2 linked regions of the Lytechinus pictus genome follow. Each later gene encodes a partner of the first gene's protein in a complex. Links are inferred from orthologs where the notes say so. Each region holds a gene or a part of one and is shown in the gene's direction. Other genes may lie near its edges.

Evidence for each region. The genes of interacting proteins can lie anywhere in the genome.
Region 2: mediator of RNA polymerase II transcription subunit 19-like (region 1) and mediator of RNA polymerase II transcription subunit 4-like share a complex: the UniProt entries of both Drosophila melanogaster proteins name them as parts of the mediator complex. The link is inferred for Lytechinus pictus from reciprocal best matches to the Drosophila melanogaster genes MED19 and MED4.

The regions. Positions count from the first base shown.
Region 1 is NC_087246.1:20,716,605-20,723,887, forward strand, and holds the start of mediator of RNA polymerase II transcription subunit 19-like, read left to right. Parts: upstream 1-4,276; 5' UTR 4,277-4,322; coding exon 4,323-4,497; intron 4,498-7,283. UniProt on the Drosophila melanogaster protein: Component of the Mediator complex, a coactivator involved in the regulated transcription of nearly all RNA polymerase II-dependent genes.
Region 2 is NC_087260.1:10,322,347-10,330,275, reverse strand, and holds the start of mediator of RNA polymerase II transcription subunit 4-like, read left to right. Parts: upstream 1-4,920; 5' UTR 4,921-4,943; coding exon 4,944-5,011; intron 5,012-6,144; coding exon 6,145-6,205; intron 6,206-7,929. Other genes in the region: eukaryotic translation initiation factor 4E type 2-like, read right to left, coding at 2,129-2,148. UniProt on the Drosophila melanogaster protein: Component of the Mediator complex, a coactivator involved in the regulated transcription of nearly all RNA polymerase II-dependent genes.

The DNA.
Region 1 (7,283 bases):
GGATCCGTTATGCACAAGTATATGCACACTGATGTTTATTTAATGTAATAAAATGCATTATGAGATTCATAATTATATGATGAGCATATTTAAACAGTTATCAATAAAAAATTAAATCAACCAAATATTACGTTCGAACAGGAACTCCAAGATGAAGGTTTTCTATGTCTTCCTCGCTCTCGCGGTCGTCGTCGCCTCCGTTGTCGCCATGGAGGAGGAGGAGAACGAGCTCTTCGATCTGATGGACAAGCGATCGATGGAGGAAGGAGATCTCTTGGAAGAGATGGCCTATGGAAGCGAGCCAATGGTGAAGAGAGGACGATTCAAATGTGAGTAAAAAATAAAATAATAGGATACATAGTAAAAACTTTGTTTAATTTTTTTAATGCATTTTTGTTTACTATCAACCTTACAGTATATGTTGTTTAAACAGTTTTTTTTAACTGTTGTAGTTCTGTTCAATTACTGCAACATGCCGTTTTGATATTTTTTCAAATTTCATTTTTATAATTTAATTTACAATTCCTACACTCGTTTGATATATAATGCATTTTGTTTATAATTTCAGACTGCAAGAATTCCAACGGTGATAACTGTGTCTGTGATCGCAAGTACAGACGTAACAGTAGAAGACGTTATGTCAACTGCAGACCAGCCAACACAGGAACACCCGTTTAAAATTCAAACAACAGACAGGCACCTTTGTATTATGGATGGATAATTAATTCAGATGAGGTATGAAAAAAACATTGTACTAATTTAATTGCCTGAAAATAGGGGGAAATAAAGGCATTTCAGTCGTTGTAGTTGTTAACCATGCATCCAACTTAAAATCCAAACAATATAGACGAAGCATCTCAGTTCGGACTTATTTCTACAGAGATATATTCATGTTTAAAGGACAAGTCCACCCCAAAAAAAAGTTGATTTGAATAAAAAGAGAAAAATTCAACAAGTACAACAGTGAAAATTTCATCAAAATCGGATGTAAAATAAGAAAGTTATAACACTTTAAAGTTTCGCTTAATTTCACAAAACAGTTATATGCACAACTCAGTGACATGCAAATGAGAGAGTCGATGATGTCCATCACTCACTTTTATTTTGTTTTTTATTGTTTGAATTATACATTACTTCAATGTTTACCAATTTCACATAAAGGACCAACTTAACAGAACCATAAGATGTAGTAGCAATGGTAATACCACATGTTCAGGGAGGAATAAAACTTCATTTCGCAAGACAATGAGGAGAATATTAGAATAATTCATATTTCATATTTTTTTTCAGTTCAGTTCAGTTCATTTATTCATTTCTAAAAAATTCAACGAGTACAGATATATATACATAAAAATCAACTTTTTGCTGGGATGGACTTGTCCTTTAATGTGTAATGCCATTTTTTTTTGTCTGTGAATCAAAATGATGATTCACAATTTGTACACTGTTGTTTATTCTAAGTAACTGTTCTGCAATTGCAAGGGATGCATGCTATGCAATTTTGTTTATTACTTTTTCTGTAGAAATGATTAAAAGAATTCGAATTTAAATTCAAAATCATTCATTATATTTACCTTTATATAAGTATAATATTATATCTGATTTTGTGTTGCAATAAATATGGTCATGTTTACTTTTTTTAATAAATTATAGAGCATTCTATCCGGCGGTTTCATTATACTTGAGGTTGCATGGTTCCAAGTCCAGTCGAGTCACACAAAATGTTATGGAAAATAAAATTTTCTCCAAAATAAGATAACTAACCAATCCCGGACTTCCCTCCTATTTTAGCTAAATACTGATTTTGCACTCTGCAAATAAATTTATGATAACAAGATATTATTACTCTCTTAAGTATATACTGTTTCTAATCTTTTGCTGTACGTTGCACATGAATTGACGACGAGCTTGTTTTGTTCTTTGTTTACAGTCCACAACTCTCCTCAAGAAATCTATACTGGTCGTCAAACATCATCTCATTGTTCTCCAGGCAAGCCAGTGAGCAAATTTCGCAGAAAAGATGGAAAACAACATTTTTACTGTTGATGTACAATAAACACCCTGCTCAAGTCATCTCATGTGCACCTAGAGTGTCAATATTTCAGTATTTTGTGTAATATGATGAGTAAAGAGGATGAGGGGGAGATCGATAGATAGATAGAAAAAGAGGGAGAGAGGGGGAGGGAGAGGGAGAGAGAGAGAGAGGGGGGGGGGGGGCTCTCGAGAGAATATGTGCCGTGATAAAATTATCTTCGGAAAGAACTAAAGATGTCAAAACGGTGTTGAAAAATAATTACGCCAATAAGACATTACCTCCTCTTTCCAAATTTAATTGACCCTTAAATTATTAATTCCATGTGGAGCTTGTTCGGTTAGAGTGAGTATTTTCACTATTTGGGTGGAAATCTGTCATATTCATAATTTTGTTTAAAATAAGTTTCAAGATTTTAGCTAATATCTCAAGTTTCAAAAATTGTATTTTGATATGTAACTCATAATGCGAACGTATCGCGAGCTAATTTCTTTTTTATTGTTGCAAGCATAGTACAACACGGAGCTCACAATATTCATGATATTGGGCTAAAAAATCTAATTATGATCTGTAAATGGAATATTCCATTTGATGACATAATGATCGATGTGGGAATATTGTAGAAATTTATGAATACGACATGGATTTCACTAAAGTCTAAACAAATAATACGAGCAAGAAGATATTTAAACTAACCCCAGTAATTTGAGGGGGCATATAGGCCCTATGGGCCCTATGCTAAAGTAAGCCGGTAAGTCATATATATATAGAGCTTATATCCCTATAGTACAGTATCTCATCACTAAAATGATAGATATGCCAGCGCGAAGCCGCGGTTTCTATATCATGAACAGAACACATTTGTCACAAAGAAATCATTATGCATGCATGAGAACGCGAGCGTGCGAGGTGAAATTTTTATTAACTGCATGATCTGAAAATGGGATGTAAACAATGTTGAACATGAACTAAAAATGTGATGCGAGCACGTCGACTTTTCTCATAATAAACCCGACAGGGGAGCATTTTATTAATTATTAAGAGAGCAATGCTAGTTTGTTAAGAAAATCAAGCCAAAAAAGCAAAAAAACCCGTTTCATTCTAATATGAAAATGATTTTGGTCAGAAAAAATTGACTAGTAAAAAAGGTTTTCTCTCCAAAATGAAGGCTGCTTCGGCAGCTTCAGCACCCCCACTTCCCAGGGCAATGAGCCGTGGCCCTCCGATCAGAATTATCGAAGCCACATTGCTTTCTGCAAACATGTCTGATCAGGGGCCCGTTGCCAGCTAGGAGATTTAATATAACAATTAGAAAAATATCATTAAAAAATACACATGTTTTGAAAGTTATTCAAATCAATATGAATAATAATATTTTTTTTTACATTCCCCCTCTATTAAAAATTCATGACATCATAACAAAGGTATAAGTACATTTGAACTTAATATTTTCATAAATTTTACATTGTCATAGGTTATTTTTTTCATAAAAGAAATGTATATACTTAAATGAATAATAAACGGGCCCGGTTTATTAATTATACAGTGCGTCCCACAAAAAACGAAACCGAGATTTATTCAATGATTTATGGCCTACCATTGTAAAGCTTAGAATTTCCTCTTTCATCTGGAATTACTTAGATTATTTAGATTATTATGAAATTATGGAAATACTAGCATTGTTTCGAGAAAACATAACTTTTTTACTTCTGAATCATTTTTGTGAATAAGGTATCAAAAAAAAAGAGCAGATATTGAACTTTTTAGGCATGTGATTTTCTTTTTGAAATTCAGATACCCCCCGCCAAATGAGTTGTTGGTATCCTTTCTTCAAATTGTTTTTGCTCACTCATGCGTGAATGAGGAATAATGTAAATAATATCAGATGAAAGAGGAGATTCTAAGCTGCTATGCTTTACATTGATAGGTCATTTGTCTATTGCAGGGGCCGCAGAACCGGGGGGGGGCTTCACCCCCCCCCCACTTTTTTCCAAACCGTGTACAAAAATGTAAAAATGACCATATGATTGTGATTTTTAGCATGGTCAGCCCCCCCCCCCACTTTTGGCTCAGCCCCCCCCCCCCCCCCACTTTGAAAACCGTTCCGCGGCCCCTGTATTGTATTTATGATTAAGTTATGATAAATCATCGCTAAATCTCGGTTTCGTTTTTTGTGGGACGCACTGTATATAGGCACTATCAATAACCATTAATTAATGGTTCTGTCTCCAATAATGTTACAGCGCCCTCTCTTGTTTTCTAGGCAGACCAAATTGGTGAAAAAGAAAAGATGTCGCTTTTCAAGCGAAGTCCCTCCGACTCTTCTTCAAACTACGGAGGCATTCCTCCAAAAATGCCGACACCGATTCGTCAGAGATCTCCAATGCCAACGAAACAATTCCTGAGTCCACCTAGCGTTGATCCAGAACCGTTTTATCTGCTGAAAGACCCACCACTATCCAATGGTAAGTCGGAAAAAAAATAAACAGACCCACCCGTATAAAATGATGTTATGTTGTAGCCTAACTAGACAACTTGAAGTTGTATGGCAGTGTATCCTATTGCCGGACACCTTTATTTCAGTGCTTTAAAAATGACAACTAGAGGAAATACAATCAAGAAAAAATCACATTTGCTATTCCAAATATTATGAAAATTATGAATATGATAAAATTATTTTATATTTACCAACCATTTTCTTTGCATCGCAGTTGCCGCATACCCCTCCACGAAAAACAATTATTTTCGTGCGCGACAAATTACATCATGATTCCGGACGCGTGCCGGACGGGTAAAGATATCTTTGATTATAATGATGTAAGAACAAATTTGTGTGATTTTTTTCTTCTTATATCATATGAGTAAATTCTAAGTTTTTATTTGCTTTTTATATCGAATCTGAGCAGATGTTGGTAATAAATTCGTGTTTGATAACTTATTTTATTTTTTCTTGTTAGCTGCATGTTCCATGGCACTTTCCAATAATATATGCTCGCGTTCGTATCGTGACGCTCGTCAAGTTCTATCGATGCGCTGCCGATCGACGGCTCTACTCACGGTAAACCTCGCGCACGGGTACCTTGAGAACTAGCCGTCGACGGTCACCCACAATATACCACACCTCATCATTCGATCGAAGGAGTGGACGAGATTGAAATTCGGCAAATCAGGCCCATATTTCCGTTAGAAAATATGTCAATCGTTAATGTAAAACTATGTTATATGCACTTGTTCACTGCAACCATCCTGCCTGTGGAGAATCTACAGGTAGGACTATGGCATGCCAATGCTGTACACAGCACACACTTTAAAAAATGATTAAAATATCACTTTTGTGACCAAAATTACTAATTTCCATACAGTTGCAATTTATTTTTCATTAGTAACTTGGGAATAATTTTTGTATTCACTAGAGCGCTCAAAAACTTGAATTTTGGGCATATTTTTGTGTACGCCCTCTATTGATAGAAAATAATATGGCAAGAAAATTTTCATTTTTTAATCTCTATTTTTAATTAAGAAAAAATAATTTAAAGAATCAAATTTACTTAAGGGCCAAGTTGTATGACGAATAACTGTGATGGAAACTGTCAGTGTAAAAAAAATCAAGCATTTTTCCCAAAGAAAAAGAGAAAATAAGCCAAACATTGCCATCCTTATTTTGCCACACATGGAGATATAACTGAGAACAAGGTTATATCATAACCTTGTTCATTGAATGAGTGGTTATATGATATTTTAAGCATTTTCTGTCATTTTAGAGATAATAAGGTAAAAGTTGGATTTTTTTCGCCTTGTTTTTGCAATCTTGTTCCATGTATTGCTCTGTGAAATTGAATTGCGGAAGTCATACGGTATGAAATTGTTTTCGAACGCAGTAATATGCGCGTCCGGAATCATAATGTGTCCGGTAATACAATACGTGACTATATGATGGGGTGTCCAAACTTCGCGGACTTTTCAAAAATATTCTTCAGGCTTAATTTTGTTCACAAAATATTCACAATTTATACAAAACCAATTCAAGAAATAGTTGACGGCAGGATCATTAATTATAAAATCATTGATGAAAATGTGAAGTAGGTCAAGACAAGGGCAGGCCAAGCAAGGCCGGGTTTCGCCGGTATCGCGATTTCTCAAAATTCCATTCCCATCGACGAATGTGCGCTGTGCTGGAAAACCGCTGACGACAAAATGCCATAGAATCAGTCACTACCACATTTAACTCACATTTTTGATAATATCTGCTTGCAAAATGATGATATCGTGATGCTTGTTGAGAATATCAGATTTTTTCGGAACGGGCGCTAACGGTGACAAATTTGCCGATCTTTTGTCAATATTTTCATGAATACTGAACTCATCCTAAAAAAAATTACGCCACAGGGTAATTTTAAGTCGCTTTTCACGTTGATGATGTCAGATTTTAAGAATATTGTCTAGTTTTCTAGATAATGACCGTCCGCGAAGTATGGACACACGCAAAGTTTGGACTCACTGCCATACGTTGTCGTTGTAGACAGTATGAAGAAGAGGGGGGGTCACCCCACTCACACTAGTACGAGGTTAGTTACCTCAAGCGATGTTCCTGCAGGCTCCACTTCACTACCGCTACACTTACCCGAACATCGAGCCCGTGAACTCGCTCTGATATTCCGAGTGACCGTTTGCGTTTGACAAAGTCAAAGGTGGGATTTTATGGGGGGAAAATATAAAATTCATGCAACATCACGATCTTTAAAAACAATTAAAACTAATATTCTTACTTTACAAAAAGTTTCACTGCTTTTCCATGCTTCTATCAGTCTCAAAATTGGTGATCTAGAGCCAACATAGAGTTCCTCACACGTATTAATAATTCGCTGCCGATTTCAAGACATCGCATGCGCGTGCGTGAGGGTCTGAGCTCGGACCCTCGCTCATGCGCATGCCAGGAAGCCTATTGATTTGGAGGTCAAAAGGTCAAAGATCAAGGTCACAGTGACATGTTTTCATCTTACCCTTCTGAAGTCCTTGTAAACGCGATAACTTCAGTTGAACTTAACCTAGGCTCATATAATTTGGTGTGTATGATACTAGGATGGATCCCAGGAAGCCTATTGATGTTGAGGTCAAATGTCAAGATCACAGTGACATATTTTCATCCTCCCCTCCTGCAGTCCTTGTAAACGTGATAACTTCAGTTGAACTTAACCTAGGCTCATATAATTTGGTTTGTATATTAGCATGGATCCCAGGAAGCCTCTTGATT
Region 2 (7,929 bases), on another chromosome or scaffold:
TCAAATATGACTAATCAATAATAACCTTGTCCTCTGTTAGGACTCCCATGTGTGGGAAAAATAGGGTTGGCAATGTTTGGCTTACTTTCTCTTGTTCTTGGTATAAATGTATCTGGGACAAGCTGAGTTCCCAATAAGAAAACTTAGGCCTGATGAGTGATGCTGAGCTGAATTTTGTGCCAGGACACTTCACTTCAATGCAAAGTTCCAGGACATGTGCAGAGCAAGCACAGCAACAGGTTTTTTTTTTGGGGGGGGGGGGGATAAAACCTGGCCAGGTCTGGCATGTTAATGAAAGTGTGTGCTGGGCATAATTTGACCTGGCAACATCTACAAAAGTCTGATGTCAATAATATTACAATAGTCTCGACTTGCACAAACAAGTTTAAAAAAAATAAAACACTTTGAATTGGTGCACACAATTGGCATTAATGCAATTTCGTATTGGCCGACTACGAGAGAATTTTCCAACCAGCAATTGTTCGCAAATGTCATTAGGAACTTAGTTAGGAAGTCTCTCAATCACATTTTTCTACATAGTACAGGCACAAGGCAGATCATAATTCATATGCCCATCGCTTTTCCGAATATCGCGATCAGCAGGAACGGCTGTATTTTGGTTGGATGTCGAGGTGATTGTCGAATTTTCAGTCAGACATCACTTGCTTTTGGTCGCTAACTTCAGTCCTTAGGCATAGCATAGCCATAGGCATATCAAAATTTATAGTTTTACACGGTATGGCGCTTCCATTTCCAAGCAAAGCAATGTCTGAGTCTGACCGAATCTGACTGAGGCTGAGCTGAGAATGAGACGAGAATTCAACAACAATGAAGCAGGCTTAGGTCCACCCATGGGTTCATATCATCTCGCGTGCGAAGGAATATCAGTCATATGCACGCGACACACACGACAAGTCAAAAAGATAGTGGGCTTTTGCCCACATAAAATATCACCAATAATCTGGTATTTCACATTCTGCTATGACACTTACCGAATCATTTAGATCCTTCCGTGACTTCTCCTTGAAGTTTTTTCTTAAAAATATGTATATTTTCTTGATCTTTAGTGAAGATTTCACGGAGATAAAATTTGGTCAGCGTAGATATCAATTTTCGCCTAAAGAGGGCGCGCGATTTATATTCATATCAAAGACACGACAAGGGAAAGATTAGGAACCTACACTATTTTATACGCAAATCGACGCAAGGCATTACGCGAATTCCGTGAAGTGTCCAATCTTTTCATTGTATAGACTTTGGTATACCATGACGTTCGTTAATACTGCTTGTACTGCTGGTTTCGTTCCAGGCATGTGTATTAAAAAAAATAAAAATTATATTAGTCATCGCTTTAAATTAATTGCAACAAAAGTGTTATCATCGCCAATAGTAATCCTGAATTATGTTTTTGAAGGTATTTTATTTATTGGTGCCCATAATTAGTAAATTAATCATAAGAATTGCGCATTCAAAGAATTTAGACACAGTTATAAAATTACCGAGGAGCTGAATCAAGGTTGTGAAATTTATTAGCGCCACCAACGGGCTTCCTTGTATTTCCGTAGAAGAGACAAACGAAGTCACTTGCTAGGCCGAGGTAAGCGAAATTTGCTCTTTTTAAATGAAATGAGTTCAATATCATATGTATAATTTTGTTATGTATTGCTACTTACCGGAAAGAGCCCCGGTGCGTAGCGAGAAGGAGTTTCGGCAAATATTACTTCAGCAATGAAGCAATGTTTGCCGACTACTTCAAAATCTACGGTCAAACAAGGTCCGGTGTACGAGGTTCGTATATATATACGAACCTCGTATTACTATTAAGTATTAGTGTGAGTGGCTTAGGACAGTAACTTAGGTCGAGATCCAACCAAAATACAGGGATTCCCTATCTCGATATTCTGAAAAGCGGTGGGCTTACTATGACTTGCTATGACATTTGTGAACAATTACTGGTGAGGGAATTCTCTCGAAGTCCGCTGGTGCGAAACTGCATTCGCGCCCAATAAATAGGCTAAATAAAACATAAAAATGAATAGGTGGGACTGGCATTTGAAACCAGCTGTAGAATATAACAGACGTTACATCCAAAATCATATAAACTGCACTAAATAATTAGTATTCTTACATGTCAAATTGGTTATTCATCTCTAGGTCCCCTTGTTGAGGTCTAAATGCAGATAATTCACGGTTGAAATCTCGTAATCTTCTGAATTCCAAGTCATACAGAATGATCCACGCACGTTCACGATATCGATATCGATAAGTATACTATCGGTTTTTTTGCCGGCGCGGCGGCCGGCGCGGCGCGGCCGCGCCGCCGGTCGGGGGCGCCGGGCAGGAGGGGGCCCAGCCAGCCGGGCCGGTGGGGGCTATAATTTTTAGGGTTTTTTTTATTATTATTGTTTACCGGAAGTGTTCACTGTTCAGAGAGGGTGGTTCGTCTAATTTGGGTACATTCATATCCAATTTATGTATAAATTTATACCAAAAATCAATGTGGACGCGACGGATCTAGACCTCTAGATCTACTAGGCCTAATAATAATAATAATAATAACAATGAAAGCAAGAGAGAGCTTTCCTTTAAAATGAACTGGCCCAGCTAGATTAGACTTCGAGATCATTCGATGCAATTAGATCGATAAATATACCCTTTTTTATTGATGAAATATACATGTATTTTTTAAAAATCAATCCCAATCCCATGTGATTTCTCAAGATGAACATTTTTAAGTAATTAAGTTTAAAAAAAAATCGTGTCTGATGTTATAAGCTTAAAAGGTAAGAGCAAATATCCCCGATCCCTCGTGGTGATCTATATCCGAAAAAAAGGTTATAATGACAAGAAAAAAAAATACAGATATTGAGTATGTTTCATTATATTTATGTGTCGTTATATGATTCATTGTCAAACAAAAAGAAATCAGGAAGAAAAATTCGCCTATAATCTGTTCTCAGCAACTGAATGCCACCAATACCAACAACATACCGAAAATGTGTAGGGCCTATACAAAATTATTATATCGTATAGACCATAATATGCAGCAACAACAAAAACATAAAAATGGTAAATAGAATTTAATTCTTTTCAGTGGTTTATTTCATTTCTATATCCATTTTTCAACACACAAATCAGAAATAGACCTTCATAAATACATAGGCCTATCAATTACATAAATAAATAAAAATCAATCATAAAAAAATGAGCTGACACTTGCTAATTGGCAATAACACTGCAAAAAATACAATAAATAAATATCAAAGATAGATAAAACATTTTCAAAAGTACATGTATGAATGTATGCTTAAAAACAAAGAAAAGAAATGTAAAAGAGACCAAGAAACGTGGCTTGTATAAATGCAAGAATAAAAAAAAGCAAAATCACCAAAAATATTAACATTGAAAAAAAATGTATTAATGAATCATACATAGGGCCAACGAGAGAGAGAAAAAACAACTGACAACAGGCGATTAAAAGCATGTTCATGCTAAATTAGCAATGGGGAAAAATAATCCTCACCACCTCACCACCGCTGATTAGGGAAAGTTCACCCTGACAAAAGTTGTAAAAATAGCAGAAATAATATAAAAAAAACATTGGTGAAGGTTTGAGGAAAAACCCTAAAAGAACTTTTTTTTAATTTACTAGAATTTCAATTTTTGGATTTGTGACGTCATACGCGAGCAGCTTCCACATATCGTATGGTAAAAAAGCAAACAAACAATGGAAATTCATTTTCTCATAAAATTGAAAATGGTTTTTATTGTACCTTCGATCAGTATAGGCCTATACCAATCAAAAAAAATATGTCACACCCACTCCTGAAAGAAATCAAACAATTAATGAGTCATCATGAACCACTGCAAATTTAAAATTTATGCATTTTATAATGGGGCAGCTGCTCATATATGACCCAAAAAAATAAAAAAAACTCTAATTAAATATTATAACTTTCTTAACCTTTGATGGATTTTCCTCAAACCTTCACCAATATTTTTATAATTTTTAGGGTGAACTTCCCCTTTAAACAATTTTCATGTTAATAGTTCATATTTCTTACGTTATGAATTTTGATTGAATCTCCTAGCCGGTCACCATTGTGAACTTATTTTTGCGTAGTTTTATATGAGGGAAAATAAATTCGGCTTAAATAGTCAAATTTGACTGAAAATCCGTAAAAAATCACCTAAAAAAGAAAAAAGAGTATATTATAGACCGGCTTGACCAGTGATGTACGAAGGGCCTATACAAATGGGGGGGGGGGGAGCCTTTTGTCAGACCAAGAGAAAAAGAAAGGAAAAAGAGCTGGGTGAAAGATATTATTTTCTGAATATTATGTCAAAATCTATCACAAATTTGGATTTATGTGAAAAGGTGTCAAAAATTTTGCTCGCTCGCTTCACTCGCTCGCAAAAAAAAAAAATTTCCCAATATGCCATATCTGGCCTTCTCAAAATTTTGGGTTCACGTCGCCACTGCATGGCCGGGCTTGACCTTGTATCACGAAAGAGCGTAAAGTATTATTATTATATAGTTTTGATGATAAATAACATTTATTCCGCACCTTGGATATCGCCTTCTTAAAAAAAAATGTAATATATGATTTAATGCATGGGCATGACGGGTCTTGAAAAGGGATCGAGGGGGCTCGGCTAATCATGCAAAAAAAAATGATAATAATTAAAAGAAAAAAAAAACCCAAAACAGATGGTGAAAAAATGGAGGATGAAGCTTCATCTAGTATTCTTTTTTGGTCTTCTTCTTTTGTTTTTATTTTTCTTTGAACTTTATTGAAAGATTGCCTTTCCCCCCGTGGTGGGGGCAAATCAAGGGGCAAATATATGTATTACATACGGTACATTTTCACTCACAAGTTTTTGCCAAATCTATAAAGTAGTCGAGCACCATCTACGTTCACTTCTGTCACGACGAAAGCAAGATGGCGGCTTCCATGACGGCAAAATCAAGACTTCTTTCTCTTGTGGAAGAAGCAGAAGTGTTAACAAAGTGAGATAAATTTGATTATACTGTGTATTTTTGGTGATGTGATGAATACATTTGATGAACGATTTTGGTTCTCTCTTACCTAACTCTTGTAATGACAACTTGGGCTTGGCCTTGTTCAGATGTTGAACGACTCTCGCCTCGCCCTCGGCCCTCGGCCAGCCCAAGCCAGGCAGCCGCGATTGGAGGAGGGAGCCAGCGGCAGCGCTACTACTTTGCTGGGGATTGATATACCATGAAGATGAGAGGAAAGGAAAGAAAAACAGAGCATTAGATTCTACGAGTAAAAGAGAAAGTGCACGAAATGAAATAGAAATGAATAATAACAGAAAAAGAGGAAAAGGGGTGAGAACCCAAGAAGAATAAAACAAAAGGGGCAATAGAAAAAGTAAAGTCAAAATGAAATGGGGAAGTAAGACTAGGCCTAGAGCAAAGAGGAGAGACAGAAAGAAAAAGAAACAATGGAAAGGAGGGATAAACGGTGGGAAAGAGGGATATTTTGTTGGCATACATCTCACTTTATTGCATGCTCATAAGTCGTACTCAGTCATAGACAGCTGGCAGCCGTCTGTTTTGAGGAGTTTTTTAACATTTTTTTTTTTTAAGTTCTCCTCATACACAGACGGCTCGCTAGCGTGCAGCCACCATTAGGGGACTTGCAATGCAAAATCCCCCCGTCGGGGCTCTTCAATTTTTGTCTTTAATCAATAAACATTTTGAAAATTAATGCGACCAAAATGCAAATTGATATTCCCTCTTGGCATTAATTGCCAAGAAACGGTGAAAAATCGAGTTAAAAGGAACAAAAACAGTGACTTACCTCGGCTGTCGCGCAAATTCACTTCCCCGTTTTATCCGATCTTAAGTACATAAACATATGGCCATTGAGTCCCCTGTACAGATCGCGCTAGAACTTCGGTCTCTGTATTTGGTGAGTGAAGCCAACGGAGTTCAGCTGAACAACCAACATAACAGAGACCGAAGCTTTTGGTCTAACTCAGTCATAGACCACAACATTACACTTACAGAACATACTGTATTTTTTTTCTTTCTAATACTGTCAGAATTGCAAACTTATCTGTAAAGGAGCTCTTGAAAAATATTAATTTGTGTTTTTGTTTTTGTTTTTTACACAGAGACCTCGGTGAGGCGACATCAGCAGTTAGGCAAAGAGTTCCTCATCCTGATGAACCTCAAGTAAGTTCTTCTTAATGACTGTGTGACATTAAGCTAAGAATTGAAAAACAAAGCAAAATCTAACAAAACAAAAATAATGGATCAACAGAAAATTCTAATTATTGTTTTTTTGTTGTTGTTGTGTCAATATACTTTATAGTGTAAATATCATATTTTCAGTGTGTATTTTAACTTGGCCCCTTTTTATAAGCTATGCCTTTTCCTGGGTCACCAAACCATCATTTTATGGATGTATGTTTTGGTATTTGTATCGATATGCAAGGCTCGACATTAGCGGTGGCCCGGTGGCCCAGGGCCACCAAAAATTCACCTCGGGCAACCATTATTGATAAAATGTTAAGTTTTGGTGGCCCGAATCGGGCAACCAATAATTTTCAAAGTAGCGCAATTTTTCTCCCAATTTTGCACGCATTTATCAACTTTCTACAGCTCAAATTGCAAGCCAGTTCGTCATGCGCCCTTTTTGTTGATCTACACACAAATACACACACACAAAGTTTGCATATTAGGCCTACAGCTATAGCATACAGCAGCTATTATCCAGCCAACCGCGCCGGCCGGCTGGCGTGAGCTTTGCATGAAGCCACTGAATACAGCTGTGCTCTAGATCTAGCTCAGCCTACTCAGATTCGGGGAGCTGCGATAAAAAATGTTGCTGCTGAGAAATCTTCCACAGAACTTTGAAAATCTCAGTCAAAGTCACATTTTACACCAATGAAATGCAATTCTACAGTCTATATTACGAAAATCTGGTGTACCCTGATTATTTGCAAGTATTAAGAAGAGGAATTATGACCTCTCTTTTGACTCAAAAAGACCGATTTCCACATGAATTAATACACATAAAAACACATCACAGTCCCACATGTGCATTTGTATGTATGTTGATACTTGGTTTCTTTCGAAGCTGTGTATTTTCTAGCCAAAAACAAACAGACAGTTTCTTTCTTTCTTGTTTATAAATGACTTCTTAAACCACTCTTGAGAAAGTAAATACTTTGGGAAGGCATTTCATTGATATGAAATGTGATTTTTTTTCCAACATTTTGGCAAATATAGGGAAGGACTTTTTTCACACTTTTTATCCAGAATCACCAGATATAATTTTTGCCGTTTTCTTATTTTTTTCCTTTCATTTTTTTTGACAGTGGTTAAACCATTTATACCCCTTCCCATTGAATATGCCTGATTAAAAAATATGTTTCTACTGAAAATAAAATAATACAAACTAAAGGATATAAAAATAAAAATGTGCCATTCCCAAAAAGTAAGTGAAAATTATTTGCTTGGCTTTTAATAATTATATTCCAGTCAGAATAGACTGTTGCCACAGCTGTTAAAAAATATATGTAATGGCTTCTTAATTTTCCCCTTTTCCCCATTTTTTTATTAACTTTGTTTTATTAATTTTTCTTTCATTTTCTTTTCTTTTTTCTCTCTAATTTTTTTCTTTTCTTTTTTTTCTTTTTTTCCCTGTTCTTTGTTTTTTTCTTTCTTCATTTTCTTTCTTTTGTTTTATTTCACTAATTTCTTTTATTATTTTTGTTTTCTTTTTGTAATATACTTTTTGAAAATTATTTTCGTTTGTTTCCCCCTTTTATGCATTGTTCTAATTTTGCAGCATATTTTTCTGTGATTTTCTCCTTCTATAATATGCTGCTAAAGAGAAAACAGAAATAAACTGGATTTGGGGCATAATCTAGGTTTTAGGATTCAAAGAGGAA